Linked DNA regions of Callithrix jacchus. The protein of the gene in region 1 interacts with the protein of each later gene in a biochemical or structural test. Links are inferred from orthologs where the notes say so. Each region holds a gene or a part of one and is shown in the gene's direction. Other genes may lie near its edges.

Region 1 (3,927 bases):
GAAGGCTTTGTGTACAGGCAGTCTTTTTTTTTTCCTTTTGAGACCGAGTCTCGATCTGTTGCCCAGGCAGGCTGGAGTGCAGTGGTGCGATCTCGGCTCACTGCAACCTCCGCCTCCCAGGTTCAAGCGATTCTCCTGCCTCATGAGTAGCTGGGACTACAGGTGTGCCCCACCACGCCAGGCTAATTTTTGTATTTCTAGTAGAGACGGGGTTTCGTTGGTCAGACTGGTCTCGAACCCCTGCTGGGATTACAGGCGTGAGCCACCACGCCCAGCCACCGGCAGCCTTTTCTCGAAGGCAGAGGGAGTAGTTGGAGCAAATTAGCCTAAGGCAGGAAAACTGAGAATGGGCGGGGCAGAAGGAGTAGTTCTGATTTATTAGAAGATAGGGTAGCGTGCCCAAGGGGAGAATAAACAGGAAACTAAGGAGTTTTTAAGAAAAGTATTTCCTCTCCTCCCTCCAAGTTCCCTAGTTGTGAAGGGAGGACCATAAGTATCTTGCATCACTTGATTTCATTTGAAATGAAATATTCAGAATCCATCATCTCACTATATTACCCTTTAAGATTCCATGTTCCTGAAACAAAAATTCCTATGTTGATCTGACAATCTTACAACGCATTTGAAATAAATCCAGGGTAGGACCAGCATTTTATGTTCACAGACTTCCTTTGTTTCCTGTCCATCTGCTTTCTTTTTCCTCTATTAATTTTCCATTCACTTCCCAATCTTAACCCCTCGCCATTCTCCCAGGGTCCCCCTTTCTCGTCATCCCTTTCATCCTTCCCTTCTTGGAAACAGATCCGATTCTAATCTCAGTTACTTTGTTTATTAGCCGCGGGATATTGGGATAGTTATTCCCTCTGGGCCTCAGTTTCTTTTGTAAAATTAAACCCCCCAAAACAGTGTTTATTTTACAGGGTTGCCAACAGTACAACAAAGAACAGGTTACATGCCTAACACAGTACCTGGTCTATAGTAAGAACTCAACATTTTTGCCCCTTCTCCCTCCTCTTTTCCGTCCTTTTATCTCTCTTCCCCTATTCCTCAATCCCAGAGCCCAACAGGTAAAAACCGTGGGAAAAACCGTCCTTGAGGCTAAAAGAAGAAACGCTGAGGCTAGGGGCGGAGACTACGAGGTGCTCACTGCGCATGTGCGCCCGCTAGGTCAGCTTCTGGGTTCCAGCTGGAACGCGGGTGGGGGGGGGCGCGGGTGGGGGGTTACCAGGGCCTCATTTTATCTTACTGCCCCCTTCCGGTTTGGGGAGGTGGCGGGACCTTGGCGGCGCCCGGAGCGGGTGCGGCACTCATCGAGGGACGCCCGGCCCAAAAGGTAAGTTGGAAAATGGCGGAGGGGGGGAAGAAGGAGGGGCTTTGCAGGGCAGGAGGCTGACCTCCCGGCCGGGGGTGGGAAGGACACTGCCCGGGCCGGGAGACTGACGGACCGCGCCCAGTATCTTTTTGAGGCCCTGACGTGGACGCACTTCGGGTTTCGCGACTACGGGTGTCTCCAGGGGATGGGCCGGCCAGTGGAGGCGCGTGAGGGAGACGAAGGGACTTCCGTTTCCTTCACCTAGGCTGGGGCCAGGCCGCAGAGCAGAGTTGGCTTTTCCAGATTGGGGCTTGGGCCGCGCCCCCTCCGGGACCCTCCCCTTGGACCGAGCCGATCGCTGCGGGCAGTTGGGGCCGGCTGTCCTGGCGCGGTGGGTACAGCTGTGTAGGCTTTCCCCTCCCCCGCTTTCCCTTCTACTCCTCTCCTTCCCTCCCCTCTCTTTTCCCCTCCACTCCCCTCGGGCCGGCGCTGCTGGGGAGGGCGGGAAGGCCGCGCCTGCCCGGCATGGGTGGCCCGGCCTGGGCTGCTTGCCCGGGTTCCCCGGACTGTCGACGGAAGGCGTGGGTGGGTGGGTGACCTCAGGCCCGCGTACTGCCTTCCTAAACCCTGTGACACCTAAGGTAAATTGAGGCAGAAAACTTTTTAAATATGATCAAAGGGATTTCCTCCCCATGTGATACCTGTGGCTTGTGTGGAGCAGGGTGGAGTGTGTCTGGAGGGGGCGTAAGAAACCGAAAGAATGAGGGCCAAAGAGCTTCCGGAAGAGGAAATTAGCTAGTGATTCTTTCCACTCTGCTTTCCCAGTCACCTTTCCAGCATGTTCTGTAAAACAAAATGTCAGTTTGACTTCGTTTCATCATTTTAACTCCCTAACACTTAAATTGTTTTCTTTTCGGGGAGGGAAGTGTTTCTTTCAAACTAAGCAGTAGCCCTCTCCACCTCCAAAAAAGGAAAAAGTCAATCAAAGCTTTGTTTAAAAAAAAACTTTCAGATTTTAATAATCTACTACTTTGCTTTCAAATATAATTATGTCGATAGTTCTGTCACAACTATACTTTGATAGTTTGATGACTCACAGAAATTTACTCTTGGAAGACTGGAGGTTGCAGTAGCGTTTCTTTCTTGTTATCTTTTTCCCCCATAATATTTATTACAGCCAGCGCAAGAGAACAATGTTACAGACGGCCATCTTAGAATTAAAACATTTTAGAGTTGGAAGGGATCGTAGTCAAACCCCGTCCTTTTACAAGAGCAGAAACAACTGCTTAGGAAGATTTTGTGGCTTGCTTAAGGCTATCCAACTAGTTAGATTAGAACCCGTGTTATCTGGCTTCTTGCCCACCACTCTTTCTGCGCAATTGCTCCATATCGCCTCCAGGCATAAAAATTAAATGTATTCAATTCAACACTCATTTCTGAAGAGTATAATACTTTGTACCAGTGACTCTGCCACCACTTTTCTATGTATTTCAACGTATTTAACATGCGTATGGAGTACTTGAGATTTCTCCCCACCCCCACATTCAAGAAGTGGCATCTGTCTGATTTTTATACACACACCTTCACAGGTAGGTACGTGTGTATACTTGCATTTGCTTAGTTTCTTGAAGGATACACAATAAAAAGGTTAACAGTAGTTATGAGGAAGAAGAGAGGTAGAAGACTTTTTGCTTTGCAGTAGTTCACATGACCTAATGTACTGTTTGAGTTTGTTATAAACTAGTATTGATTTTTTTTTTTTTTTTTTGAGATGGAGTCTCATTCTGTCGCCCAGGCTGGAGTGCAGTGGCATGATCTTAACTCACTTCAACCTCCACCTCCCAGGTTTAAGCAGTTCTCTGCCTCAGCCTCCTGAGTAGTTGGGATTACAGGCGCATGCCACCATGCCTGGCTAATTTTTGTATATTTAGTAGAGACGGGGTTTCACCATTTGTCCAGGCTGGTCTTGAACTCCTGACCTTGTGATTCATCTGCCTTGGCCTCCCAAAGTGCTGGGATTACAGGTGTGAGCCACCGCACCTGGCCTCTAGTATTGTTTTATAATTGAAAAGAAGTTTTAAAGTTCACACCCCCCCACACAAATATATATATATATCTATATAAGCAAGTATATACCGATGGTATGTGCACATTTATATACATATATGTATTTATACATAGCAGTAGTTTATACCATAAAATCCGGTATGATTCCAGCCAACTCAGCTGACAAAGCAGGCCTCATTATTGGATACTTACGTTTGTTTTTCTTGTATTGCTCTCTCCTAATGTAGATGGTAAAAATAATATGTTACTAGTTGTATATTTTTAGAAATTGTCCTAAGCTTCATTATCAAATAAAGTAGCAAACTTTAACACATTCAGAATATCAAATTTGAGTACTTGCTTTGGTAGCACACATTTTTTTTTTTAAACATGTCACTGAGTTTATTATAGAGAATGGTAACAGGAAATGGGATTGTACAAAGAAAAGAGTTGGAGACAAAACTGGATGAGGGTTTCACACTGGGTGTCCCATCCACAGGCCTCAGCAGTCCTGCCACGGATCTGCCCGATTCTTTCGCATCAGGAAGTTGATCTTGCGAGCCATTTCC
Region 2 (3,500 bases), on another chromosome or scaffold:
TTTGGGGAAGCTCGTGTGTGTGGTTTAGGCTGGAGGCCAGGAAGCCAGGCCCTGGAGGCTACTCCATGTGGTCCAGGCAGTAGAGACGAGCACAGAGGGCCAAGGCCAGACACAGAACTCAGCCCACGGCATCGCACACTGGGCTGCTCTTCCTGCCTCATGAGCTTTCAGGGACCAGGAGGACAAAGGGTACCTTGATCCAAGACTCTGCCCTGGGGCCCAGAGGGTCCCCTGGTGAGCTGGCCAGGCCCTGGCCAGGAGGGCACGGCCACGGGTACATGCCAGGTGGTGTGGGGCTCCTTTCCAGCCGCGTACCCGAGTGTGAGGTCCCTAGGGGCAAGGTGAGATCCTGCCCAGGTGGCACTAGACTCATGGGGGGAAGGGCAGGTTGGGAGGGGCTCCAAAGAGAGGGAGTGGGGAGTCAGTGAGCTCCCCTGGCCTCACCCACCAGACCCCCGCTTCTGTAAGGAAAGGATAGATGGAGTCTCAGTCCCCGACACGCCTCACCATGTTCCTTCCCCTCTCAATCTCTCCAAGTGTGGCTTGGCACTGCCCTTGGCCCAGTGGCCCTGCTTCTTAGAGGCAGAGTGGCCAGAGCCTGGGGACAGGCCTGAGCTGCAGGCTTCCCTGGAAATACTCTCCAGGTCTGGGGAGGGGCGTCTCCAGGGCTTGCAGAGGTGGGTCACTGACCCAGGTGTGGCCCTGAGAGTGACCTTTTCAGGAGAGTCAGGGCTTTGGGGATTGGCAGCCAGGATCCTCCTCTAGAAAGAGCCATGGACACAGTGCTTTGTTGGCAGGGGTTTGCCTGGGTTCCCCCAACTGATGCCTGCTCTTACCTTCCTGCCCAGGATGGCGAGGTCATTGGCATCAACACGCTCAAGGTCACAGCGGGCATCTCCTTTGCCATCCCCTCCGACCGAATCACGCGCTTCCTCACAGAATTCCAAGACAAGCACATCAAAGGTAAAGAGCTCACCTGGAGGGGCCAGAGGCAGAGGCACTAACCCCCCAGCACTGGGGCCAGGGCCCGTTGGAGGTCCTGGGTGAACCTTGCTCACTACCGGCCAGGTCCTGTCTTCCACCCCGAAGCTAGGAGACCCCCGGGACAGCTTATTCTCAGCCTCTGGCAGGGTCTTCCCCCCTGCCTATCATCAATTCGTGGTCACATTCACCCCCTGCCCCTCCAAAGCGATCTCCCTTTGTCTGGGGATCTCTGATCTCAGCTCCCACCATCAGTTTCTTGCACTTTCTGGACTCCTCTTATCTGGGCTCTCCCTTAGTTGTCAGCTGTTTCTTTCCTTCCATCCATCTATCCATCTATCCACTCACCTATCCACTCATCCATCCATCCACTCACCTATCCACCCATCCATCCATCCATCCACCCACCCATCCACCCACCCACCCACCTATTCACCCATCAATCTATCCATCCATCCACTCACCTATCCACCCATCCATCCATCCATCCATCCACCCACCCACCCACCCACCCACCTATCCACCCATCAATCTATCCATCCATCCACTCACCTATCCACCCATCCATCCATCCATCCACCCACCCATCCACCCACCCACCCACCTATTCACCCATCAATCTATCCATCCATCCACTCACCTATCCACTCACCTATCCATCCATCTATCTATCCATCCACTCACCTATCCACCTGTCCGTCCATCCATCCATCCATCCATCCATCCATCCATCCATCCATCCACCCACCCACCCACCCACCTATCCACCCATCAATCCATCCATCCATCCAACCACCCACCTATCCACCCATCCATCCAACCACCCACCTATCCACCCATCCATCCATCTATCCATCCATCCACTCACCTCTCCACCCATCCACTCACCTATCCATCCATCCATCCATCTACCCACCCACCTATCCACCCATCAATCCACCCATCCATCCATGCATCCATCCATCCATCCACCCACCTATCCCCCCATCAATCCATCCATCCATCCATCCATCCATCCATCCATCCATCCATCCATGCATCCATACATCCACCCACAGCTTTCCACCCATTTACCCATTCATCCACCCATCTTTCCATCCATCCATTTACTATCCATCCACCTATCCATCATCCATCCACCCATCTATCCACCCACCTACCCAGCCATTCACCCATTCATCCATCCACCTATTCATCATCCATCTACCCACCCACTCACCATTTACCCATTTATCCATCCACCTATTATCCATCCATCCTATATCCAACCATCCACCCATCCACTCACGCAACCACTCATTTCTTCTTTCACCCAACAATTCTTCCATCATTCATCTATCCATCCATCCATCCATCCATCCACCCATCTATTCATCCATCCACCCGTCCACCCACCCACCCACCCACCCACCCATTCACCCACCCATCCACCATTTCTTCCTTCATTTTTTCCTTTCTTTCTTCTCTCTTTCCTTCCACCCCTCCACCCACCCACTCATTCACCTGTCACCTACCCATCCATCCATCCGTCTGCCCACCTAGATGTCCCTTGATCCCTATCCCTCTATTCTTCCTTTCTTCCATCATCTGCCCACTCCTGAGTACTCCCGCTTCCAGGCTGTGGGCCATGCAGATCACATGGTAGAGACTCCTCTATGCAAGGGTAGTTCAATATCCTGGTCCTTGGAAGTCACCCTCTTTCAAGCCCCCATTTCCTCACCCTCTTCCAGTAGGGATGTCCAGCCCACCCTGCCCACACCTAGCCTGCCATGAGCACCCATCTGGGAGAGGTCTCACTGGGGCACTTGGCAACTCTCCCAAGTGAGAGGACGCCCATCCCCTCCTTCAGTGGGTGGTCACAGCCACCTTCCAGAGCAGGGCTATACTTCTGATTGCAGGGCCTTTTTTGGGGGCCTCCACCTCCCCACTTTCTCTTCAGCCCTAGTGAGCTTCTCCCTCCTGCCCTTGTGTCTCCCATGCCCACCTCCTGGTCAATGCCCAGGCCTGACTCAGCAACTCACACTGCCACGTTGCTTTCCTGTCTCCTCCCAGCCCCCTCACTGGCAGTTCATTGAGAGCAAGGGCTTCCTCATGCTTGTCCCCTCCTCCATGACCCCGCCAGGCAAGTACATGGACCCCAGTGCAGCCAGGCCGGTGCCATGAGGGCTGGCCACAGGAAGAGCTGCTGTTGAGGATGCCGCCACTGTTCTTCTGTGTCCATTATGGGAAGGCGATCTGGAGCCAGGCAGAGCCTGTCTTTCCCAGGGAAGCTGAAGTCTTCTTCTCTTGAACAGCGGGCGCCATCCGACCTCTTGAGCCCATTCCCTGTTGGCTTCTAGGAAGCTCAGAACTAGATCCACGGGTACGCCCAGACCTCCTTTCCCTAATGGAGCTCCTTTCCCTCACGACCGAGCCTTTCCTGTTGAATTGTCCCGTTCTCCGTGGGCGCCTTTGACTGTGGCCCATTTTCTGGAAACCAGGGGAGCTGCTCTTTGCACACACTGAGCCGGGAGGCGACT
Region 3 (4,046 bases), on another chromosome or scaffold:
GCTCAATAAATATTCGTAGAATAAGTGAATAAATGGGGCTGAGGTGTTGCAGTTCAAGCGATTATATTCTAAGACTCTTAGATTCTTCGAGTATGGCCTATAAAGTCAGATTCGGGTTTCAATCCTGTCCACCTCGGCCACTACTACTCATATGACCTTAAACATCCGTTTCCCTGAACCCTAGGGTCTCTACATCTGTAAAATTGGCGGAAGGCGGGGGGCGGGAATACTTTCTTGGCAGGATTGTAGTTAGGGAGAAATGAGATAAGCTTGAAAAGTGGTTAGCACGATGCCTGGGACTTAGCAAATGCCCACTAAACAGAAACGATTATTTTTGAAATGTGAAAATGAACTGTTCAAAACGATGGGAGGTTAGAGGACTAGATTACTGCCAGCTTTTTTTTTTCTGTGTGAGAGGTGTTAGGGTGGGAGGGAGGGAAGAGGGAAAGGAAGATTGTGTAAAGTGGGCTTGGTCGGATCAGACACTCGAGTTTGGAACAGCCATCTGCGATGTGGGCACAGGGTTGAGGGGGGGAGCTTATGGTTTTATTTGGGGTGGAGGAGGAGGCTAAGGGGAAGCCATGCCCAGGAGGAGGTTGAATGGGGCGGGACAGACCATGGCTCCACAAATGGTTTCCTTTTTGCTAGAAGTCTGACAACTCCTTTCGAACCTCTGTAAAAGCGGGGCCGTAGTGAATTCTGGCGAGGGGCCCGCCGTGGACCAGGAACTGGTGCCACAATTGCAAAGGGGCACCTGCGCCCGGAGGGGGCGGTGACGCGGGGGCTGGGCTGGGCCCTGGGGGCGGGGCGAGGCGCGGAAGTGCCGCCTCGGGACGGGGCGGTGACGGAAGGATGGATCTTGGGGACGTGATTGACTTTGGGGAAGGGGTGGGGATGCGAGCTGGAGCCTGAGGCTGGGCAGTGACGCAAGGACGATTCTGAGGGTGGGGTAAGTGGAGGGGTTGATTCTTGGAGGCGGGGCGGTAGCGCGAGGCTAGACCTTGGGGGCGGGGAGGTGGCACAAGATTAACCTTGGGGGAGGGTTGGGGCGCGGGTTGAATCCTGGGGCGGGTCGATGACGCAAGAGCGAATCCTGGGGGCGGGGCGAGGCCTTGGAGATGTGTCCTGGAGGCGGGGCGGTGACGCGAGGGCGGGTTCTGAGGCGGGGTAGGGAAGTGACGTTTCGCCTTGGGGGCGGGGCGACGACCGGAGGGGCGTCCTAAGGCCGGGGCGGTGACGCAAGAGCGACTCCTGGAGGCGGGGCGAGGCCTTGGAGATGCGTCCTGAGGCGTTGTAGCTAAGACTGACCCGGGGCAGTGACGCGGGGGCGGGATCTGGAAGCAAGGGCGGGTCCTAGGGACCTGGGCGCGCTGCCGAGGCCCGGAAGCGGACGGTGGAGGCTGCTCGCCATGAACGAAGCGGACCGGCTGCTTCTGCAGCGGCACCGGCGGCTGCTGGTGGAGGAGCTGCGGGTGGACCAGCTCTGGGACGCCTTGCTGAGCCGCGAGCTGTTCAAGCCCCACATGATCGAGGACATCCAGGTGCGCCCCCGCCCCCGGCCTCCTGTTCCCGCGCTGCACGACCAGGTCCCCACACCCCTCGAAGAGCCATTGTGTGGGAGCCCAGCTTTCCCTGTGGGTGGGTTCTAGTCCCCCAGCGGAGCCAAAGAATCCCAAACACCTCTTTCTTAGTCGGGTGTTCGCTAAAGCGATTCCACGCCATGCTCAGAGTACACTGTTAGTGCAGGAGTGTCTTGTGTAAATGAAAAATGTGAGACACATTTTGAAAACTGAGTAAGAAGCAGTTCTTGAATTGGAGAGCATCAAACTGAAAGAGGTTTAGTGTTGCAGTGGCAAAGCGTCAGAGGCAAGTATTTATTGGGAAAACGTGGAAGCAAAATAGAGGAATTATTTGATTGGTTTGCAGTTACAAAATTGCCTTTTTAAAAAAAGGTCTTCATTGTTTATGCTTGCTTATGATTGACTAGAGTTAAGTTTTGCTTCTCTCTAACATAAGCATTTATCAGATATGACCCAGGTTAAATTTTGCTTATCTTTGCAGTTTAAACAATATTTAGGTCACTTAGGATGCCTGATTAGTATTGTCTGCTCAGGAATTCTTCAGGGTTAGTCTCCATTTTAATTTACTTTTTAACACTTGCAAGGAAGGAGGTGTGTGTGTTTTTGCTTTTCTAGCGTAGAGGTTTCGGCCACCCGCTTTGGCATCAGACTGCCTGGCAGCCTGTTCTTGGGCCAGTCACTTACTCTCTTTGAGCCACAGTTTCCTGGGCTGTGAAATGGGAATACAATAATACTGTAATGAGGACTAAATGAGTTAATGGATGTGAAACAGTGTAGAGCCAGGCACAGACCCTCAGGCTGTCTGCCCTGCCCTCTTAGGCCAGCCCTTTCTGTGTTCAATTTATGTTTTGTTTAGAGGTTTTGGAAATAGGGGACCTGATGCAGGCAATGGAGAATAATAAAGTCAAACATCTAAGGTTTTCTTTAAAATCACTTTCCCATCTTTGTCTCACGTGACCCTCACCACAGGCCTGTGAGGACAAAGGAGTTATTTCCCACCATGAGGTACAGTGGGTGTGAGTGGCTGGCTGGATATCCCCAGCCGGTGCCCTGGTCCCAGTGAAAGAGCCTTTAAATAATTGAGTATCGGCCGGGCACAGTGGCTCACGCCTGTAATCCCAGCACTTTGGGAGGCCGAGGCAGGTGGATCATGAGGTCAAGAGATCCAGACCATCCTGGTCAACATGGTGAAACCCCGTCTCTACTAAAAATACAAAAAAAAATTAGTTGGGCATGGTGGTGCGTGCCTGTAATCCCAGCTACTCAGGAGGCTGAGGGAGGAGAATTGCCTGAATCCAGGAGGCGGAGGTTGTAGTGAGCCGAGATCGCGCAATTGCACTCCAGCCTGGGTAACAAGAGCGAAACTCTGTCTCAAAAAAATATAAATATAATAATTGAGTATCATATGAGTAATTATTCATTAATAATAAAAGAAGTCTTGTGACTTCTGTGTGACCCCTACTGGGGAACAGAAGTGGTTTGAGGCCACAGTCGTTGTTTTCAGGGATGTTCACAGGGATCAATGCCCATGGAGGCTTGATGGATGGGCATCATAGTGGATAGCCTTTGCACTGCCCTCCGTCTCCAGCTGAGGCTGGATATGGCCATATCCGCACATGGCCCAGGATTGCCAGATCTTTTGCTTCTTCGGAGGCAGGGTCTCATTCTTGCCCAGCCTGGAGTACAGTGGTGAGATCATGGCTCACTGCCACCTTGACCTCCTGGGCTTAAGTGGTCTTCCTGCCTCAGCCTTTAGAGTAGCTGGGACTTTAGGCACATGCCACCATGCCCGGATAACTTAAATTAAATTTTATTTTTTTGTACAGATGGGAGTCTTACTGTGTTGCCCAGATGGGTCTCAAACTCCTGGCCTCAAGTGATTCTTCTGCCTCAGTGTTGGGATTACAGGCATGAGCCACTGCACCCAACCCAGCTTTCCCATTTTAAGAAAGAAGTTGGAAATCTTGATTCCTCTGTCAAATTCCCTGGCTTAAATCCTGGCTTAAAATGTTAGCAACAAATTCAGAAATTTTTAAAGAACTTTGTGGGAACCACGGGTTGCGATTTTGCCACCCTGGTATGGCTGAAAAACCCACAGGTTTTGGAGCCAGTTGGATCTGGACTCTCATCCTAGCTTTGTTACATATTGGCAGGTTGTAAAAAGCCACACTCGATGAACCAAACAAACAAAAACCCTTTCTGTGACTCAATTTCCCTGAAATTTTTTGCCCTAAAATGTTGGGAAATTGAAATTTAACTTTGTAAGGTTATTGAGGGAGAAAAAGGTGAAACAATGCATTTAACACAGTGCTGACCTCCTGGAGTGCTCAGCAAATGTGGAGAGAAATCCAACCACCACCATCTGTTTGCACATAGTCAACTGTTCTGCTAGTGAGACTCAACTACAGGTCTGTGTTGTTCACAGCAGTAGCCATTGGCCACATGTGGTTAATTAAAGGTAAATTT
Region 4 (4,277 bases), on another chromosome or scaffold:
CCGCTGCCTGCACCAGGCGAGAGCACCCCGAGCAAAGGAACAGTAGTTGCCTCCGGAGGTATCACTGGGGAGTGGGAATTTGGAAAGTTCCCCAACTAGGAACACACGTGACCTCCTTCGAAAAGTAGTTCCGACTGTGGCCCGTGTATCCTTCCACCTCCTTTTGAACCCTCCTAGGTCTCCTCGCTCCGCCCACTAGCTGGGCTGCAGCTTCTTACCGTTCCGTACTTTCCACGCGGCCCGGTAACCCCGAACGTGCACGGTCCGGCCGGGGCGCGTGGATCCTCGCCCCGGGCGATCCATCCTGCCGGGTTTTCACGGCGGCCAAGGAGGGGCGGAGCTAGGTGGTCTCTAAGGACCCAGCTAGAGTCCGACGCGGCGAACTGAGTTGGAGTCTGTATGATGGGGAGAGATGCTCGACTATCCTAGGGGCCCCGGAGCGGGCTCAGGAGAGGGCTGCGAAGTGCGTCCCACTGACAGGGATCCCCGTGCAGTTCATTTAAATAGGTGCCCTTTGGGCCGTGGAAATTCAAGGCCCATGTGTTCACGTTCAGCACGCTCGGCTGAGAGCTTTCATTTTTAGGGCAAACGAGCCGAGTTACCCGGGGAAGCGAGAGGTGGGGCGCCGCAACCGAGCCGGATGAGGTGATACACGGTGAAGACACAATAGCAGGTTGCTCTTTGTGCTAATTCTGACACCTTGAGGCCACAGGGTCGTGGGGTGGGGGGGAAGGGAGATTTCTAGGCAAAGACAGCTACAGTCAAGTCTCTGCGAACGATTGTGATCCCACAGCGGTGCAAAAGGAGAGAGCAAATGCAGGTCACGCCGCGGAAATCCAGGGGCAGAGGCAGGGGGGAGGGTATTCTGCATATCCCTATACACTGACTAGTGTGGCCACCTGGTCCTTTTCACCTGTGCACAGGTAACCTCAGACTCCAGTCAGTGACACTGCTCTATGCACCCATCTCAGCTTTCATCATCAGTCCCCCTCCCCCGCCCCGCAACAGCCTACCCTCCCTCCGGCTGCGTTTCTGGGCAGAGGCTGAAGTTTAGCTCATCCTCGCCTAGCGTTGCCGCAAAAGCAGCCGTGGCAAGTGCAGCTGCAGGCGGGCGGCTCGGAACCGACCAGAGCGAGCTTCCCCCCCCCCCCACCGGCGCAGGCACACTGGGCATGCTCAGTAGAGCTTGCGGCTTGCGGGGGCTCTGCGCTCGCACCTGGAACTACAGCTCCTGCCCCCTCCTACCGCCCCGGTCGTGCCTTCCCCTCCCCCGGCGCGGTCCCGTCGGCCTCTCTCTCACCACCCGCCTCCCCTCGGTCTCTTGAGGCGCCCGGTCTCCTGGCGCGGCGGCGGAGGGGGCGGGCAGGTCGGCGGACGGTGATGTGGCGGGACTCTTTGTGCACTGCGGCAGGATACGCGCTCGGCTGCCGGGACGCGACTGCGCTCAGTTCTCTCCTCTCGGAAGCTGCAGCCATGATGGAAGTTTGAGAGTTGAGCCGCTGTGAGGCGAGGCCGGGCTCAGGCGAGGGAGATGAGAGACGGCGGCGGCCGCGGCCCGGAGCCCCTCTCAGCGCCTGTGAGCAGCCGCGGGGGCAGCGCCCTCGGGGAGCCGGCCGGCCTGCGGTGGCGGCAGCGGCGGCGTTTCTCGCCTCCTCTTCGTGTCTTCTAACCGTGCAGCCTCTTCCTCGGCTTCTCCTGAAAGGGACGGTGGAAGCCGTGGGCTCGGGCGGGAGCCGGCTGAGGCGCGGCGGCGGCGGCGGCGGCACCTCCCGCTCCTGGAGCGGGGGGGAAAAGCGGCGGCGGCGGCGGCGGCCGCGGCGGCTGCAGCTCCAAGGAGGGGGTCTGAGTTGCCTGTCACCATTTCCAGGGCTGGGAACGCCGGAGAGTTGGTCTCTCCCCTTCTACTGCCTCCAACACGGCGGCGGCGGCGGCGGCACATCCAGGGACCCGGGCCGGTTTTAAACCTCCCCTCCGCCGCCGCCGCACCCCCCGTGGCCCGGGCTCCGGAGGCCGCCGGAGGAGGCAGCCGTTCCGAGGATTATTCGTCTTCTCCCCATTCCGCTGCCGCCGCTGCCAGGCCTCTGGCTGCTGAGGAGAAGCAGGCCCAGTCGCTGCAACCATCCAGCAGCCGTCGCAGCAGCCATTACCCGGCTGCGGTCCAGAGCCAAGCGGCAGCAGAGCGAGGGGCATCAGCTACCGCCAAGTCCAGAGCCATTTCCATCCTGCAGAAGAAGCCCCGCCACCAGCAGCTTCTGCCATCTCTCTCCTCCTTTTTCTTCAGCCACAGGCTCCCAGACATGACAGCCATCATCAAAGAGATCGTTAGCAGAAACAAAAGGAGATATCAAGAGGATGGATTCGACTTAGACTTGACCTGTATCCATTTCTGCGGCTGCTCCTCTTTGCCTTTCTGTCACTCTCTTAGAACGTGGGAGTAGACGGATGCGAAAATGTCCGTAGTTTGGGTGACTATAACATTTAACCCTGGTCAGGTTGTTAGGCCATGTATTTTGTGTTTCTCTTCTGTGTATTCAACGTAGGGTGTGTTCGGCTAGACGGAACTCTTGCCTGGTTGCAAGTGTCAAGGCACCGATTGCTTTCTTAGGCTATCTATGTGGTCTCTTCCTGAGGGCTATTGTCCGTTAATACAGAATACAGTACACTCTTAGTGGATTAGCGAGCTCGGTAATCGGTCTCCTAAATGAACAAAAAAGTAGATGCTTTGAGGTTGAGCATATTTCGATTAAGTCTTGGCTTAAGCTCTAGATCAAGGGTATAGATTAGAATAAAATGAAAATTAGTGTTGCACGTACGCATATTGCATCAGAATCTTGCAGTGATTGTTTTAGTTTCCTGGGTTGCATTGATAGATTCTTTTAAAATATGACTGATTTGCATAACTTTAGAAGCAGAATCGTTTTCAGTATATATGGTGCACACTGAGAGCAAAAAGTAGTTTCGTTAATGTTTAAACTTACAATTTTGAACTGTATTTAGAAGTTTTGTAGTTTGAAATCAATAGTGCCATAATATACCTTATAAGGCGTTCTTACTAGGTCTTTGTTTTATTTACCTTTTTCTCTCCCTATGGGGTGATGTAGGATAGGGCTTGAGATTTGCACTTCAGTAGCATTTAATGTTCACTGCCCTTGTCATAGACATAGAATGGAGATTGAGTAGTTTTTGATCCCAGGTGACAATGTCGTGTAGGTTCAAGGGTATTGTGTGTAGCAAGTGAAGATTGCAGAAACTTCACTTCATGCAGAAACTTCAGTTCATGCTTGAAATTTAAGTATTATTGTGATGCTAGAATTGCTGCTCACCTTTTTTAGGTTTCAGGTCCTCTGACACTTTTTGGTATTGTTAATTTTACTGATTCGTGTAGAATGTCAAGTGTATTTTACCAGCTAATATCCAAAAATGCCGGCAAGAGGGGTTTACTCCAGCTTTAGATTGTAGATATGTTAGCTTTTTTCATACAGTATATTAAATTTACTGAGTCAGCTCGTTGAATAAGACAGAAGCCCAAGAATTATAACAGCGTATAGCTTTAGGTGTCTAAAAGTTAGGCCTTTGGGCTTCAAAAGTTAGTTGTTGTTGAAAAGCATTAATCTTTGCAGTTTTAGGTAAAACAGACTGATTTTGATTAAGAATGGGGATGGAGCCCTGTTTTTGCAGAATGGAAAGTATTGACAGGAATTGAGAGCTATTGGTAGGTCAGTGTATAAGGTATGTGAAAACAGGATTAAGTTATTGGTCTGAAGTGACTGAAGCATTTAGGCTCTATCAAGGCCTAAAATTTGGTAATGTGAATTTGGCCATACGAATTGTGGCGGCAGACAATATTTAGCTAAAATTATGTAATTGCATAAGTACTAGCAGAGTACTTTTAATAAAAATTATTTCTTAGCAAACATCAGTTGCATTTTGTTTAAAGGTAGAGTGACACTACAGTGTCTATGTGTCCTGCTAAAAATTGTGGGGAATATTTTTTTTGTAAGAAAACATTTTATATAGGGAGAGGTTTTATTCCCTTGGATTATGTTAGCTGCATATAAATGTGCACAGTTAATTTTGCCCATGTTTTTGTTTTGAAATGAATGTAAAACTTACTGAAGAAGTAGCTTTCCAAAATTTAGTTTTCTGTTAAGTCAAAAGTGGTATTTTAAAAGAGTATTTGCAAAGTTTGAAGTCTGCATTAATTGAAAATGTTACTAAGGCTGAACTGGACCCGCTTTCCCAAAAGATAATTATGGAAAAAATTCTTTTGTGACTTC
Region 5 (4,221 bases), on another chromosome or scaffold:
AATGAAAATAGAACTTTTGAGATCTCTTTAAATATTCCCTGACTCACGGAAAAAAATGTTCTCTTTTGATGTTTACATTGTTAAAATCTACCCATTTATCTATCTCTCTCTCTTTTAAATAAATTATCCGATAGATTACTATTGCTAAAGTAATTGGCCATTATAATAAGGAGAATGTGTTAAATTAAACATACTTAGGATCCATATGGTATTATCTTGATAAAGGGAAATGAGGACGCTGATTGGCAAACAGTTGGGAATTCCAAGTTAGAGCATTGCTTGTGTGTGTGTGTGTGTGTGTGTATATATATATATATATATATATATATTTTAATTTTTAAGAGACAGGGTCTCACTCTGTTACCCAGGCTACAGTGTAGTCATGTGATTACAGTTCATCATATCTTTGAATTCCTGGGCTAAGCAATCCTCCCATATTAGCTTCCCAAGTAGCTACGACTACAGGGTTGTGCTACCATGCCTGGCTAATTTTTAATTATTACTATTTTTTATGTACAGGGCCTGGCTATGTTGCCCAGGCTGATCTCAAACTCCTGGGCTCAAGTGATACTCCTGCCTCGGCCTCCTAAAGTGCTGGGATTACAGGTGTGAGCTACTGTGCCCAGCCAGAACATTGTTAATGTAGTTCAATATCAGATAAATTATTATTGTTAATGAAACAAACTCTAAGGGCATTCTCATTCCAAAACTGTATTTCAAACTTCCTTTTTTGTCAATATTTAATACCTTCTGGCCAATTTTAAACCATAATATTTAATTTTTTAATTTTTATTATTATTTTTTGAGACGGAGTTTCGCTGTTGTTACCCAGACTGGAATGCAATGGCACGATCTAGGCTCACCGTAACCTCCGCCTCCTGGGTTCAAGCAATTCTCCTGCCTCAGCCTCCCGAGTAGCTGGGACTACAGGCGTGCACCACCATGCCCAGCTAATTTTTGTATTTTTAGTAGAGACAGTGTTTCACCTTGTTGACTACGATGGTCTTGATCTCTTGACCTCGTGATCCACCCGCCTTGGCCTCCCAAAGTGCTGGGATTATAGGCGTGAGCCACCGTGCCCAGCCAACCATAATCTTTTAATGTGAACCAAAGATGGTACGTATTTGACCAGTGCAGTTAGTTTTAAATGTATACAATTGAACCAAATGGAAAAAATAGGGTGGAAACAGAGTATAGGTTAGTGACTAAGTGCATAGGCTCTGGAATAAATCTGAGGTTTAAAGGAACTAAAAAATGTACTGCATTTTCTTTGTGGAATAAAAACCTCACCTGAGCTGTGCTCTTTTCATAAGGCTTTTTAAGTGGTCTTGACCCACTGTGTATAACAGTATTCCAGGTGGTCTTCCTTATGGCTGGATAATGCCATCCATTAATCTTTAATTTTTATTTTTAGAAACAGTGTTTCACTCTGTCACCAGGCTGGAGTGCAGTGGCCTGATCATGGCTCACTGCAGTCTGGACCTCCTGGGCTTAAGTGATTCCGTCCTCACAGCCTCCCAAAGTACTCACATTATAGGTGTGAGCCACCACGCCTGGTTTTTTTTATAGGCGTGAGCCACCATCCAGTATTTTTGAAAGCTTCTATCAACTTGCTTATTCAGGGTCAGCTGATGGTTGGCAAAAATAATTTGGCCCTTAGTGTTAAGTGAGAAGTCATAAGGGTATTGAGGCATACATTATAGAGATTGACCTCGGGTCAGAATATCGGAGTCATATATCTATTTCTGAGTCGAATTCTCAGCTCCCAAGAGAAAGAAAGTAGTTTTAAGGTCCAGCTTTTTAGTCTATTTGAAGCAAAAGCTTTTTCTTTTCCATTTCCGAATATAAATATACACTTATATGAGCTAAAAGGACCCCATGAATAAACAGCAGCTTTAGTAGTTGAGGAGTGGAATTTAGTAGGTTTGTTTTCAGTATAAATCAGATAACATAGGTGGAGGTCACAGCATTTTGGAAATTGAGTGTCCCACGTGAACTTTGTTTATAAACTTCTGACAAGTTGGAAGTGGACAGGTTTGTTAAATCTTGTCTGCCAGCACCCTTTTCTTCCTTTGTTCCTTTTCTTCTCCGTGTTACTGCCTGCGACAGCCAGTCCTTCATGCTAGACAGAGTTCAGATAAAGCACATGTTTGGCAAAAACATACTGTTTGACCTCCTCCCCCTCTGCTTATGAAGGGGTAGCATGATTCTGTGTTTTAAAGCAGTGATGTTTTCAGCTGTGAAATGCACTTGCTGTAAGCACTAGGCTGGGTGCATGGAAACTGTTACGCTTCTCATTTTGTGTGATCTCCTAATTGGTATGTAGCAAAATTTTTCTAAAACTGTTTTGTGGCTTGTTTTGTAATAAAACCATGTGAAATACTGAAATATGGTCGTGTGTTTTGCTAATACTGACCTTCTGACCTTTAGGTGAGTGAGCTTTCTTATCAGTCTGCCCCCATGGTCGGTTTTAGGGATTTCACAAGGTAGGTTCCCACTCCGGGTAGTGCTGGAGACCTTCCCTTCACTGCCTGGGGGAGGACCTGGCTCCGGGTAGGGACGGGGGCGGGTGGTGGGGAATGTACGGGTGTGTATATGGAGAGGTATGCCAGGCTCTGCCCCTTAAAGTTTGGGGGCCAGCGGAGGCGGCGCCATGGCCGGGAGAAAGTGTCGCTCATTTAGGAGCGTTTGCAGGTCCAGATGAAGTCACTGAAGAGTGGAAACGAGGAAGGAAGAAGGATGATTAGACCTCAGCTTCGGCCTGCTGGGCTGGGACCATGCCTCCTGCCGGGGCTACTGCTGCTCCTGGTGCCCGTCCCCTGGGCCGGGGCTAAGAGGCTACACGCCCAGCTGGCGTGCCCCGCGGTCTGCCAGCCCACGCGTTGCCCCGCGCTGCCCCGCTGCGCGCTGGGTACCGCGCCGGTGTTAGACCTGTGCCGCTGCTGCCGCGTCTGCCCGGCGGCCGAGGGTGAAGTCTGCGGCGGGGCGCGGGGCCGGCCGTGTGCCCCGGGGCTGCAGTGTCTCCAGTCGCTGGGCCCCTGGCTGCCCAGCACCTGCGGCTGCCCGACGCTGGGGGCGGCCGTGTGCGGCAGCGACAGACGCACCTACCCTAGCCTGTGCGCGCTCCGGGCGAACAACCGCGCCGCGCGCCGCCGGGGCGAGGTGCCAGCGGTGCCGGTGCAGTGGGGGGACTGCAGGGATACAGGTGAGCCGCGGGGGGCGCGCGCCCTCGGGACGCTTTCTAACTCTGGAGGAGCGTATAGACACAAGACTTCACTGCGACCGCACAGTTCGCGCGGGGTCCTCCTGAGTCATTTGCCTCCTGGACTCGATCTCACTGTTCCCGATTTCCTTTCTTACTTAACAGGGGCTCTTTACTGGCTGCTGCGTGGTTTCTCCCCATGCACGTTTTGAACACTGTCTTGCCTTTAACATTTTCCCAACCAGCATAGCAGGTCTGGTTCCCTCGAGGCGTACCCTTGAGCTGGTATTTTTTGAATAGGGACCAGGAGCGCAGGCCCGCTCAGGAGCAATTACAACTTCATCGCCCCGGTGGTGGAGAAGGTGGCGCCATCGGTGGTTCACTTGCAGCTGTGGCGCAGGTAAAGGGGGAGGAGGAAGACCTCTTACTGGCCCAGCTAGTGGTTCCTGCCTGCGTACCTGCGCCAGGCCCTTCTCAAGCGTCATTTAATCCCAAAAAACCGCTGTAAGGAAACTGAGACGCAAAGAGGTTGAATAACCTGTTCAAGGTCATTTGACTAACGAGCAGAGGCACGCGGATGCTGACTTCCAAACCCGAGCTCCCCCTGCCCCCTTAGGTAGCTGGGGCTTTTCCCCCGTCCTTGCACAGACAAAATTGAAGGTCAGATATAAGAGCTAGTAGGCATTTTCTTTTCTTTGAGACAAGGTCTTGCTATGTCTCCAAGGCTGAATTGCAGTGACAGATCACGGCTCACTGCAGCTCCATCTACCGGGCTCAAGTAATCTTCCCACCTCAGCCTCTGGGGTAACTGGGACTACAGGCATTGCCACCACACCCAGCTAATATTTGTATTTTTTGTACAGATAGGGTCTTGTTAAGTTGCCCAGGCTGGTCTCGAACTCCTGAGCCCAAATGATCTGCCACCTTGGCCTCCCGAGGTGCTGGGATTATGGGTGTGAGCCACTGCACCCAGCTTAGCAGGCATTTTGGTCGTGATATTGCTCAGCTCCCACTTTGCA
Region 6 (4,296 bases), on another chromosome or scaffold:
ACACACACCCCTCCGGCGGGTGACTTGGGTGCAGGTAACACAGGGTGGAAAGCAGTTTCAAAGGGGGTCTATGTGCAGCAGGGTCCAGCTTGAACCTTAAACCCCAGTCAAGGTCTCACTCTGGCTAGGTATCGGGCTAGCCTTGGCCCTGGACATTTCAAGGAACTAAGACTCAAGGCTTGTTGTCCAAGCTTCTTCCAGGGGTGCAGCCAGACTTTCCCCTGCTGCTTCTAGTCACCCCAACCCACAAGGCTGGAGGCGTGGCCTCAGGGAAAGCAGACAAGCCACCCTTGGCCAGAGACCACTCCTGGGCGAGGAGCTGCAGAATCAGAGGGGTGGCGCCTGGGCCCCTCCGCAGGCAAGTGCCACCACACCAAGCGCTCGCGAGCACGATGGTTTCCGTGGTGACGGCGGAAGTGGCTGACCCGCAGGGTTCTGTTTCCTCCCGCCCTCCCAGACACACTGAGCTGCGATTGGATGGGAAGCTGACTCCCGCCTATATCCCCTTTTTCAGATAGTGGGTTGAAAGCCGTGAGACCGCAGTGCGTCTCTGCTGGAATTGGGGGCCCACTCCCAGAGCTGCCCGGCTCCGCCCCCACATCGCGTTCCCCAAGTGTCCAGCCCGACAGGTCTTCCTCTACACCACCTTAACCCTCCAGAGTGCTTACCACCATCTGGCACAATACATGTTTTGTTAGTTTACCTCAATCAGAATCTCCAGGAACTGGGATCTTTGGGTTTGCGATGGGACAATGAAGGTGCTCGACCTCGCACCCTCTGGGTAACGCCTCTAGTCTCACTCAGAGTCTCGCCGCGATCACCCTGCCTTTGTCTGTGACCCATGGGGTCAAAGGCTCTGACCCACCCGCGCCGCGCTCTGCACAAGTACAACATAGGATGAAGTGACCGCGAGCGAAACACCCCACGTCTGCCCCACTCAAAGATGGCGGCTAACCACACTTCCTGCCCGACCCCGCTAGAGTCACCGGAAGTGACCCGCCGGGCAGCCGAAGCGTCAACTCCAAGAACGGAAATACCCGAATCCAGCCGAAGGAGGCCGAACCCCAAACTCCATCCCTGAGCAACGCGAGTTTGCCGCGGCTGCGCAGGCGCACAACGCAGGCCGGGCGGGAAGACCCAAAGCGGACAGGCGGCGGAAATATCCGAAGCGGCGGGGCGCCCGAGGCCGTTACCGACCTCCGCGCTAAAGCCGCTGCTGCCGCGGAAACCGATCCTTCAGTACTCAGCCCCCGTCACCGCGGCTGCCCCGTCCTCCTCCCACCCCGAGCCGCAGCTCCCTCGCGGACGGATCAGCTGAGCGGCCAAACGGCGCGGCCGGGGGAAACCAGAGTCCGCAGCTGCGGCGGGGCCTGAGACCAGAGCGGGCGAGGGCAAGGAAGGAGCAGCCGGGGGCGATAGGGGCGGGGCCGGGCGGCCCGAGAACACCCGAGTTTGGCCGAGCGCTGCCGTTCGAGCCCGAGACTCCAGGCCAGGCCAGAGCCGGACTACGGGAGCCGAGTCGGGCCGCGCGGTGGGCGCGGAGCAGAGCAGAGCGGCGCGGCAGGCCGGGCGGGTGGCGAGAGCCGCGGAGGCCGCAGCGGCGGGTCCGAGGAGCAGAGGCGACGCGGGCGGCGGCGGGAGGCCGGGTGGCCGGGGTCCCGGGCCCCGCGGCGGCGGCAGCGGCGGCGGCGGCGGCAGGATGATCAAGCTGTTCTCGCTGAAGCAGCAGAAGAAGGAGGAGGAGTCGGCAGGCGGCACCAAGGGCAGCAGCAAGAAGGCGTCGGCGGCGCAGCTGCGGATCCAGAAGGGTAGGGGGTCAGGGGATGGGGCTGGAGCCAGAGTCGGAGTTCAGGGCCTGAGGCTGGGTGATGTGGGCGTCAGGAGGGGATCATGCGATCGCCGAGGGTCAGAGGTGGAGGGCCCCTAGTGTAGCGGGTCGGAGGTCAGGTCTTGAGGGTTGGGGTCATGCAGTCACGGGGAGGGGGGTCAGAGATAGGGGCCCAGTGTGTGGTGGTTTAGGATATTAGGAAGGCCTGTGTCTGGTACGAGGGACCCGGAATCTCAGAGTCAGGCAGTGGAGTGGAGGAGCTGGGGACTCGAGAGTCTGGGGGTTAGACGGGAACTTGGGTTTGGGATGACAGGAGGAGAGAGGGATAGTAGAGGCCAGGGGCTGGGGATATGAATGGGAGAAGACTCCGTGTATCTCAAGAGTCAGACGGGTGGACTAGGTTGGAGGACCCGAAACTCATGGGCCTCAGAGTCACAGCAATTTGGGGTATGGGGTGACAGGTGGTGGAGAGAAGGTTAGTGACTACCAGGGATTGGAGACAGGGGTGAGAAGAAATTTAGCCTATTGTGCTGTGAACCTCGGAGTCAGAGGGAGTGGGCTAGGGTGATGAGGGTTTGGGGACTTGAGAGTGTGGGGGTCAGGTGGGAAGAAGGCCTTTTTCTCTCTCAGAGAAAAAGGACAGTGAGGACTGAAAATTGGTGAGGGTAGGCAGGACCCTTGACTTTGGGTGGACAGGTAGGAACATCTTGGATGGGGAGCCTGGGATTCAGGGTGGTCAGAGGATATTTGGAGCGGGAGCATTTGGGAGCTATGGATGCAGAAAATTGGGCGTTTACCCTGGGCCAGGAGTTGGGACACGCAGACTGAACATACCTGTTTGGGGTATGCCATATATCCACAAGAGCCAAACAGGAGAAGGGAGAGGGCTGGAGGTGTGGAGCACAGCCCAGGACAGAGGCTTGGGGGTCCAGGAGGAGGCCATAGGGGCTGTGCTGACAACACCTGCCCTAAGTGTCCTGCTGTCTCCCTCTTTGTCACTTTTTCCCCCTCCCTCTTTCTCCCTCCCCCTTTCTTTCCCCAACTCTCTGCTGCCCAAACCCAGACATAAACGAGCTGAACCTGCCCAAGACGTGTGATATCAGCTTCTCAGATCCAGACGACCTCCTCAACTTCAAGCTGGTCATCTGTCCTGATGAGGTGAGGGTGCATATGGCTGGATTCACAGAAGCAGATCAAGAGTGTCCCCACTGAGAGGACGGAGACATGTTCTGTCAGGCCCCACAGGATTGAACCCTAAAATCTTCTTCTCCCCCTTTCCCTCCCAGGGCTTCTACAAGAGTGGGAAGTTTGTGTTCAGTTTTAAGGTGAGTCCCAGGTGGGCAGGGATGGCTGCCTGGACTGAGGAGGCAGCAGCTGAGGCCCTTCCAGGCACCAATCCATCTCCCTTTTCTTTTCCTGGAACCAGGTGGGCCAGGGTTATCCGCATGATCCCCCCAAGGTGAAGTGTGAGACAATGGTCTATCATCCCAACATTGACCTCGAGGGCAACGTCTGCCTCAACATCCTCAGGTGAGGGCACTGGCCCTCTACTGCCTTCCCCAGCCCTGCCTGTCATACCCCCCTCATGGTCTTCTGGGCACTACATCAGTCTCTGTGCCTACCCACCCCTTTGTTGTCTGTGGTTTCTTCATTTCCCAGTCATCTTCCTCATGGCCTGACCTTGGTTTTCTCCCTGTCCTGGCCTGCTCCACACCCTCCCTCCCAGTCTCCCACATCCTCACTCTCCTATGCCCTGGATCTGACCTGTCCAATATCAGAGGGGCCTATGGCAATCTCCCACTCACCAAGCCCTGACCCTGATGCTCTCTGTCCACAGAGAGGACTGGAAGCCAGTCCTTACGGTAAACTCCATAATTTATGGCCTGCAGTATCTCTTCTTGGTGAGTAGGAATAGGTGGTTGGGTTTGGGGAGATCGGTCTTCTGTCTCTCTGGCCTGTTGACCCCACCTGTACTGGCCACAGGAGCCCAACCCCGAGGACCCACTGAACAAGGAGGCCGCAGAGGTCCTGCAGAACAACCGGCGGCTGTTTGAGCAGAACGTGCAGCGTTCCATGCGGGGTGGCTACATCGGCTCCACCTACTTCGAGCGCTGCCTGAAATAGGGTTGGCGCACACCCACCCCCGCCACGGCCACAAGCCGTGGCGTCCCCTGCAAATATTTATTGGGGGCCACCGGCAGGGGGTTGGGGGGCAGCCGGTGGGGGAATTCCCTGCCTTGGCCTTGCCTCCCCTTCCTGCTACCTGCCCCTAGTTTGTTTTTTTTTTTTAAACCACCATGTGATTAAGGTCGGTGTTGCCTCCCCCGACCCACTCAGCAATGGGAAATGAATTGGCTTGTCTAGCCCCCTGCTGGGTGTTTGTTCAGCCCCCACTCTGGGCTGTGGAGTGGGTGGGCAAGGGGCCTGGGTAGCTGGGCCCAGGCAACCCACCCCTCCACCTCTGGAGG
Region 7 (3,500 bases), on another chromosome or scaffold:
CCAGCTTGCTGGGTTCCTGTCTCAGCTCTGATACTTCGTGCCTTGTGACCTTGGGAATGATCTGACCCCTGAGTGCCTCAGTTTCCTCCTCTTCAGGATGGGGATGACAGCACAGGTGCTTCTGGTGGCCAGGCTCAGATCAGGGAGTGGGGGCAGTGATCACCAGCCACAGTGATGCCAGCCACTATTTATCACATGTACTGGGCCAGGCACCTTACTGGGGCGACCTCATCTGATCCTCATAACTCACGTTGTAGGGTACTGTTACCCTACATTTTGCAGGCGAGGAAATGAAGGGACAGAGAGGTTAAGCAACCGTCTCAGGTCACACAGCTCGCAAGTGGCAGAGCTAGGGCTGCAAACCAGGTCAGCCATTATACTTTACTGACTCCTTAGTAATGGCTACTATTAATTAAGAAATAATAACAGTGATGATGGCTGGGCGCAGTGGCTCACACCTGTAATCCCAGAACTTTGGGAGGCAAAGGTGAGCAGATCTCTTGAGACCAGGAGTTCGAGACCAGCCTGGTCAATTTGTGGAATGCAGTCTCTACTAAAAATGTGAAAAATTAGCCGCACTTGGTGGCAGGCACCTGTAATCCCAGATACTGGGGTAATTGAGGCAGGAGAATTGTTTGAACCTGTGAAACAGAGGTTGCAGTAAACTTGAGATTGCAACACTACACTCTAGCCTGGGCGATAGAGTGAGACTCAGTCTCAAAAAAGAAAAAAAGAAAAAAGAGAGAATAATAATGATGAAAGCACTTTTCTTGCTGTTACCAGGTAAATCTTTGGCTCTGGTAGACAGGCAATTTTAAAGCAGAATCAGAACTCCTGGAGAAATTTTACATTAGACCCAGGGAGAAGAAGGGAACTGCTGAGAGCTGAGTTCTGCCTGGGGAAGGCCTGGTATTTCTTGACACTAACACGGGTGCTTTCTCTCTGGAGCAGCAAAGCCCAGGAGCTGAAGGACCGGCACCGGGACTTCCCAGACGTGATCTCAGGAGCGTATATCATTGAAGTAATTCCTGATACCCCGGCAGAAGCGTGAGTTAGAGTTATTTTCCCTTTTCCTCATGTGTCTGTGGTTCTTGGAGAGGGCGGGGAGGGTAGCAGGAAGAGGGGGCAGTGTTCCTTTTATACTGGCTCAGATGATTGTGCTGATCCTTGACACACGTGGTCTGACATTGCTAGTCATTCCTATTGGTCAGGACTCATCCATAGGACGGTGACTTTTATCTTCGGAAGTCCTCGCTCCGCTAGGGCCCTCCAGATGGACAGAGCAATAGCAGACTCGTAATGAGTCTCTGGGATGGCCTGGCTGGGGAGAGAGGGTTTCAGGAACAGTGTCCCTAAGACTTCACACGATAGTCCTGTTCTAGGCTTCGGGACCCTCCTCCTCCTGGAGTCTTCTCAGATTGTCTCTGACAGTGAGGCCATACCTGTCAACACCTGCAGAAAAATAGCCCTAGTGATATCAAAGCAGCATGACAAGAAGTAGCTCAAACATCCATCAGGGTTTGTTACCGTATTGGTGGAATATCCAGAGAAAAGTGCCAGACTGGGGCCAGCAAATGTGCCCTGGGGGCCGGATCTGGCCCACTGCCTGCTTTTGTATGGAGCTGTGGGCTAGGAATAATTTTTGCATTTTATTTTGATTTTTACTTATTTTTTTACCTTTTTATTTTCATGGGTTTTGGGGGAACAGGTGGTGTTTGGTTACATGAGTAGTGTACATGAGTACATGTCACTCATGTTACATGAGTAGTGGTTACATTAGTGGTGATTCGTGGGATTTTGGTGCTCCCATCACACAAGCAGTGTGCACTGCACCCAATTTGTAGTCTTTTATCCCTCACCCCCTTCCCAACCTTTCCCCTTGAGTCCCCAAAGTTCACTGTATCATTCTTAAGCCTTTGCGTCCTTGTAGCTTAGCTCCCACTTATGAGTGACAACATTTAAATGGTCAGAAAAATCCTGAAATAAGAATAGTATTTTGTAAAATGTTAAATTTGTATGAAATTCAAATTTCAGTGTCCACTGAAATATGGTTTGTGACGTCTTGGGGGGCTTTTGTGCTGGAATAGCAGAGTTGAGTAGCTTCAACAGAGGTGATATATACGGCAAAGCTAAAAATATTTCCTATGGAGCCCTTTACGGAAAACACTCGCAGACCCCTGTGCTAGCCCGTTAAGGACCATGACAGCATTTTGACACTGACCTATGTGAGAGCTACGGTTATAGTGGCAACCACACAGAGGAAGGGTCTCTTAACAGAAGCATTCCGCCCACCCTGTAAGAACTGCATTCTGACTTGCAATACCCATGACAGGCAAGTTGGCCATGGTCATGCTTCATGGCAGATAGGACCCGGTGCATCCTTCGCCACTTCGGGGTCAATCTTGACCTTTGACCTCCTTGGGGTCGTAAGGCCACACAAGTGTTAGTAGGCATTTCTACAGTGGACACAGTTGATGGTTTAGCCTACAAATCTCAAAAGGAGCCCAGCATCATGGCCCATGCGTGTAATCCCAGCAATTCAGGAGGCTGGAGCAGAAGAAATCTTTTGAGCCCAGGAGTCTGAGACTAGCATGGGCAACAGGTGAGACCTCATCTCAAACAAAAAAAAAAAAAAAAGAAAGAAAAAAGGGAAAAAAAAGAACATTATTTAAAAAAACTCAATAAGTAATTCAATCCACTGATGGTTTAAAAAAAGTTTTTTGTTTTTTTTTGAGATGGAATCCCACTCTGTTGCCCAGGCTGGAGTGTAGTGGCACAATCTTGGCTCACTACAACCTCCACCTCCTGGGTTCAAGGGAGTCTCTTGCCTCAGCCTCTGCATAGCTGAGATTACAGGTGCCCACCATCAAACCTGGCTAATTTTTTTTTTTTTTTTAGTAGAGACAGGATGTGGCCATGTTGGCCAGGCTGGTCTCGAACTCCTGACCTCAGGTGATCCACCTGCCTCTGCCTCCCAAAGTGCTGGGATTACAGGCATGAGCCACTAATGGTTTAAATTTTTCTAAGTTCACCTCCATTCAATCCTATTTGCTCTGGGCTTTTAGGTTCTAAACTGTGCCTCTGTCCATGTAAAGTCAGACCAGGAGGAGTGGAAACACAAATCATTCCCATTGTGATTCCCTTGTGTTGCAGAGGTGGTCTCCAGGAAAACGACGTCATCATCAGCATCAATGGACAGTCGGTGGTCTCTGCCAATGATGTCAGCGACGTCATTAAAAGGGAAAGCACCCTGAACATGGTGGTCCGCAGGGGCAATGAAGACATCATGATCACAGTGATTCCTGAAGAAATCGACCCATAGGCAGAGGCATGAGCTGGACTTCATGTTTCCCTCAAAGACTCTCCCGTGGATGACGGATGAGGACTCTGGGCTGCTGGCATAGGACACTCAAGACTTTTGACCGCCATTTTGCTGGTTCAGTGGAGACTCCCTGGCCAACAGAATCCTTCTTGATAGTTTGCAGGCAAAACAAATGTAA

What was found.
Region 2: of the proteins of XIAP (region 1) and HTRA3, one has a biochemical effect on the other in vitro, tested with the Homo sapiens proteins (3 studies listed by BioGRID and IntAct, with this or other methods). The link is inferred for Callithrix jacchus from reciprocal best matches to the Homo sapiens genes XIAP and HTRA3.
Region 3: the proteins of XIAP (region 1) and CASP9 form a complex in vitro, tested with the Homo sapiens proteins (12 studies listed by BioGRID and IntAct, with this or other methods). The link is inferred for Callithrix jacchus from reciprocal best matches to the Homo sapiens genes XIAP and CASP9.
Region 4: of the proteins of XIAP (region 1) and PTEN, one has a biochemical effect on the other in vitro, tested with the Homo sapiens proteins (2 studies listed by BioGRID). The link is inferred for Callithrix jacchus from reciprocal best matches to the Homo sapiens genes XIAP and PTEN.
Region 5: the proteins of XIAP (region 1) and HTRA4 form a complex in vitro, tested with the Homo sapiens proteins (2 studies listed by BioGRID and IntAct, with this or other methods). The link is inferred for Callithrix jacchus from reciprocal best matches to the Homo sapiens genes XIAP and HTRA4.
Region 6: the proteins of XIAP (region 1) and UBE2M form a complex in vitro, tested with the Homo sapiens proteins (2 studies listed by BioGRID). The link is inferred for Callithrix jacchus from reciprocal best matches to the Homo sapiens genes XIAP and UBE2M.
Region 7: the proteins of XIAP (region 1) and HTRA1 form a complex in vitro, tested with the Homo sapiens proteins (2 studies listed by BioGRID and IntAct, with this or other methods). The link is inferred for Callithrix jacchus from reciprocal best matches to the Homo sapiens genes XIAP and HTRA1.

Annotation. Positions count from the first base shown.
Region 1 is NC_133524.1:119,603,097-119,607,023, forward strand, and holds the start of XIAP (E3 ubiquitin-protein ligase XIAP), read left to right. Parts: upstream 1-1,127; 5' UTR 1,128-1,333; intron 1,334-1,577; exon of another isoform or gene 1,578-1,703; intron 1,704-3,739; exon of another isoform or gene 3,740-3,927.
Region 2 is NC_133504.1:188,553,807-188,557,306, forward strand, and holds part of HTRA3 (serine protease HTRA3), read left to right. Parts: intron 1-848; coding exon 849-963; intron 964-3,033; coding exon of another isoform or gene 3,034-3,056; exon of another isoform or gene 3,057-3,103; coding exon of another isoform or gene 3,104-3,144; exon of another isoform or gene 3,145-3,500. UniProt on the Homo sapiens protein: Serine protease that cleaves beta-casein/CSN2 as well as several extracellular matrix (ECM) proteoglycans such as decorin/DCN, biglycan/BGN and fibronectin/FN1.
Region 3 is NC_133508.1:52,841,305-52,845,350, reverse strand, and holds the start of CASP9 (caspase-9), read left to right. Parts: upstream 1-1,246; 5' UTR 1,247-1,409; coding exon 1,410-1,541; intron 1,542-4,046. UniProt on the Homo sapiens protein: Involved in the activation cascade of caspases responsible for apoptosis execution. Binding of caspase-9 to Apaf-1 leads to activation of the protease which then cleaves and activates effector caspases caspase-3 (CASP3) or caspase-7 (CASP7).
Region 4 is NC_133513.1:80,463,682-80,467,958, forward strand, and holds the start of PTEN (phosphatidylinositol 3,4,5-trisphosphate 3-phosphatase and dual-specificity protein phosphatase PTEN), read left to right. Parts: upstream 1-1,477; 5' UTR 1,478-2,297; coding exon 2,298-2,376; exon of another isoform or gene 2,377-2,377; intron 2,378-4,277. UniProt on the Homo sapiens protein: Dual-specificity protein phosphatase, dephosphorylating tyrosine-, serine- and threonine-phosphorylated proteins.
Region 5 is NC_133514.1:39,810,920-39,815,140, forward strand, and holds the start of HTRA4 (serine protease HTRA4), read left to right. Parts: upstream 1-1,421; 5' UTR 1,422-2,700; coding exon 2,701-3,205; intron 3,206-3,502; coding exon 3,503-3,602; intron 3,603-4,221. UniProt on the Homo sapiens protein: Serine protease.
Region 6 is NC_133523.1:51,191,836-51,196,131, reverse strand, and holds the start of UBE2M (NEDD8-conjugating enzyme Ubc12), read left to right. Parts: upstream 1-1,496; 5' UTR 1,497-1,699; coding exon 1,700-1,808; intron 1,809-2,891; coding exon 2,892-2,986; intron 2,987-3,114; coding exon 3,115-3,153; intron 3,154-3,254; coding exon 3,255-3,358; intron 3,359-3,665; coding exon 3,666-3,729; intron 3,730-3,811; coding exon 3,812-3,952; 3' UTR 3,953-4,296.
Region 7 is NC_133513.1:115,916,281-115,919,780, forward strand, and holds part of HTRA1 (serine protease HTRA1), read left to right. Parts: intron 1-951; coding exon 952-1,047; intron 1,048-3,153; coding exon 3,154-3,322; 3' UTR 3,323-3,500. UniProt on the Homo sapiens protein: Serine protease with a variety of targets, including extracellular matrix proteins such as fibronectin. HTRA1-generated fibronectin fragments further induce synovial cells to up-regulate MMP1 and MMP3 production.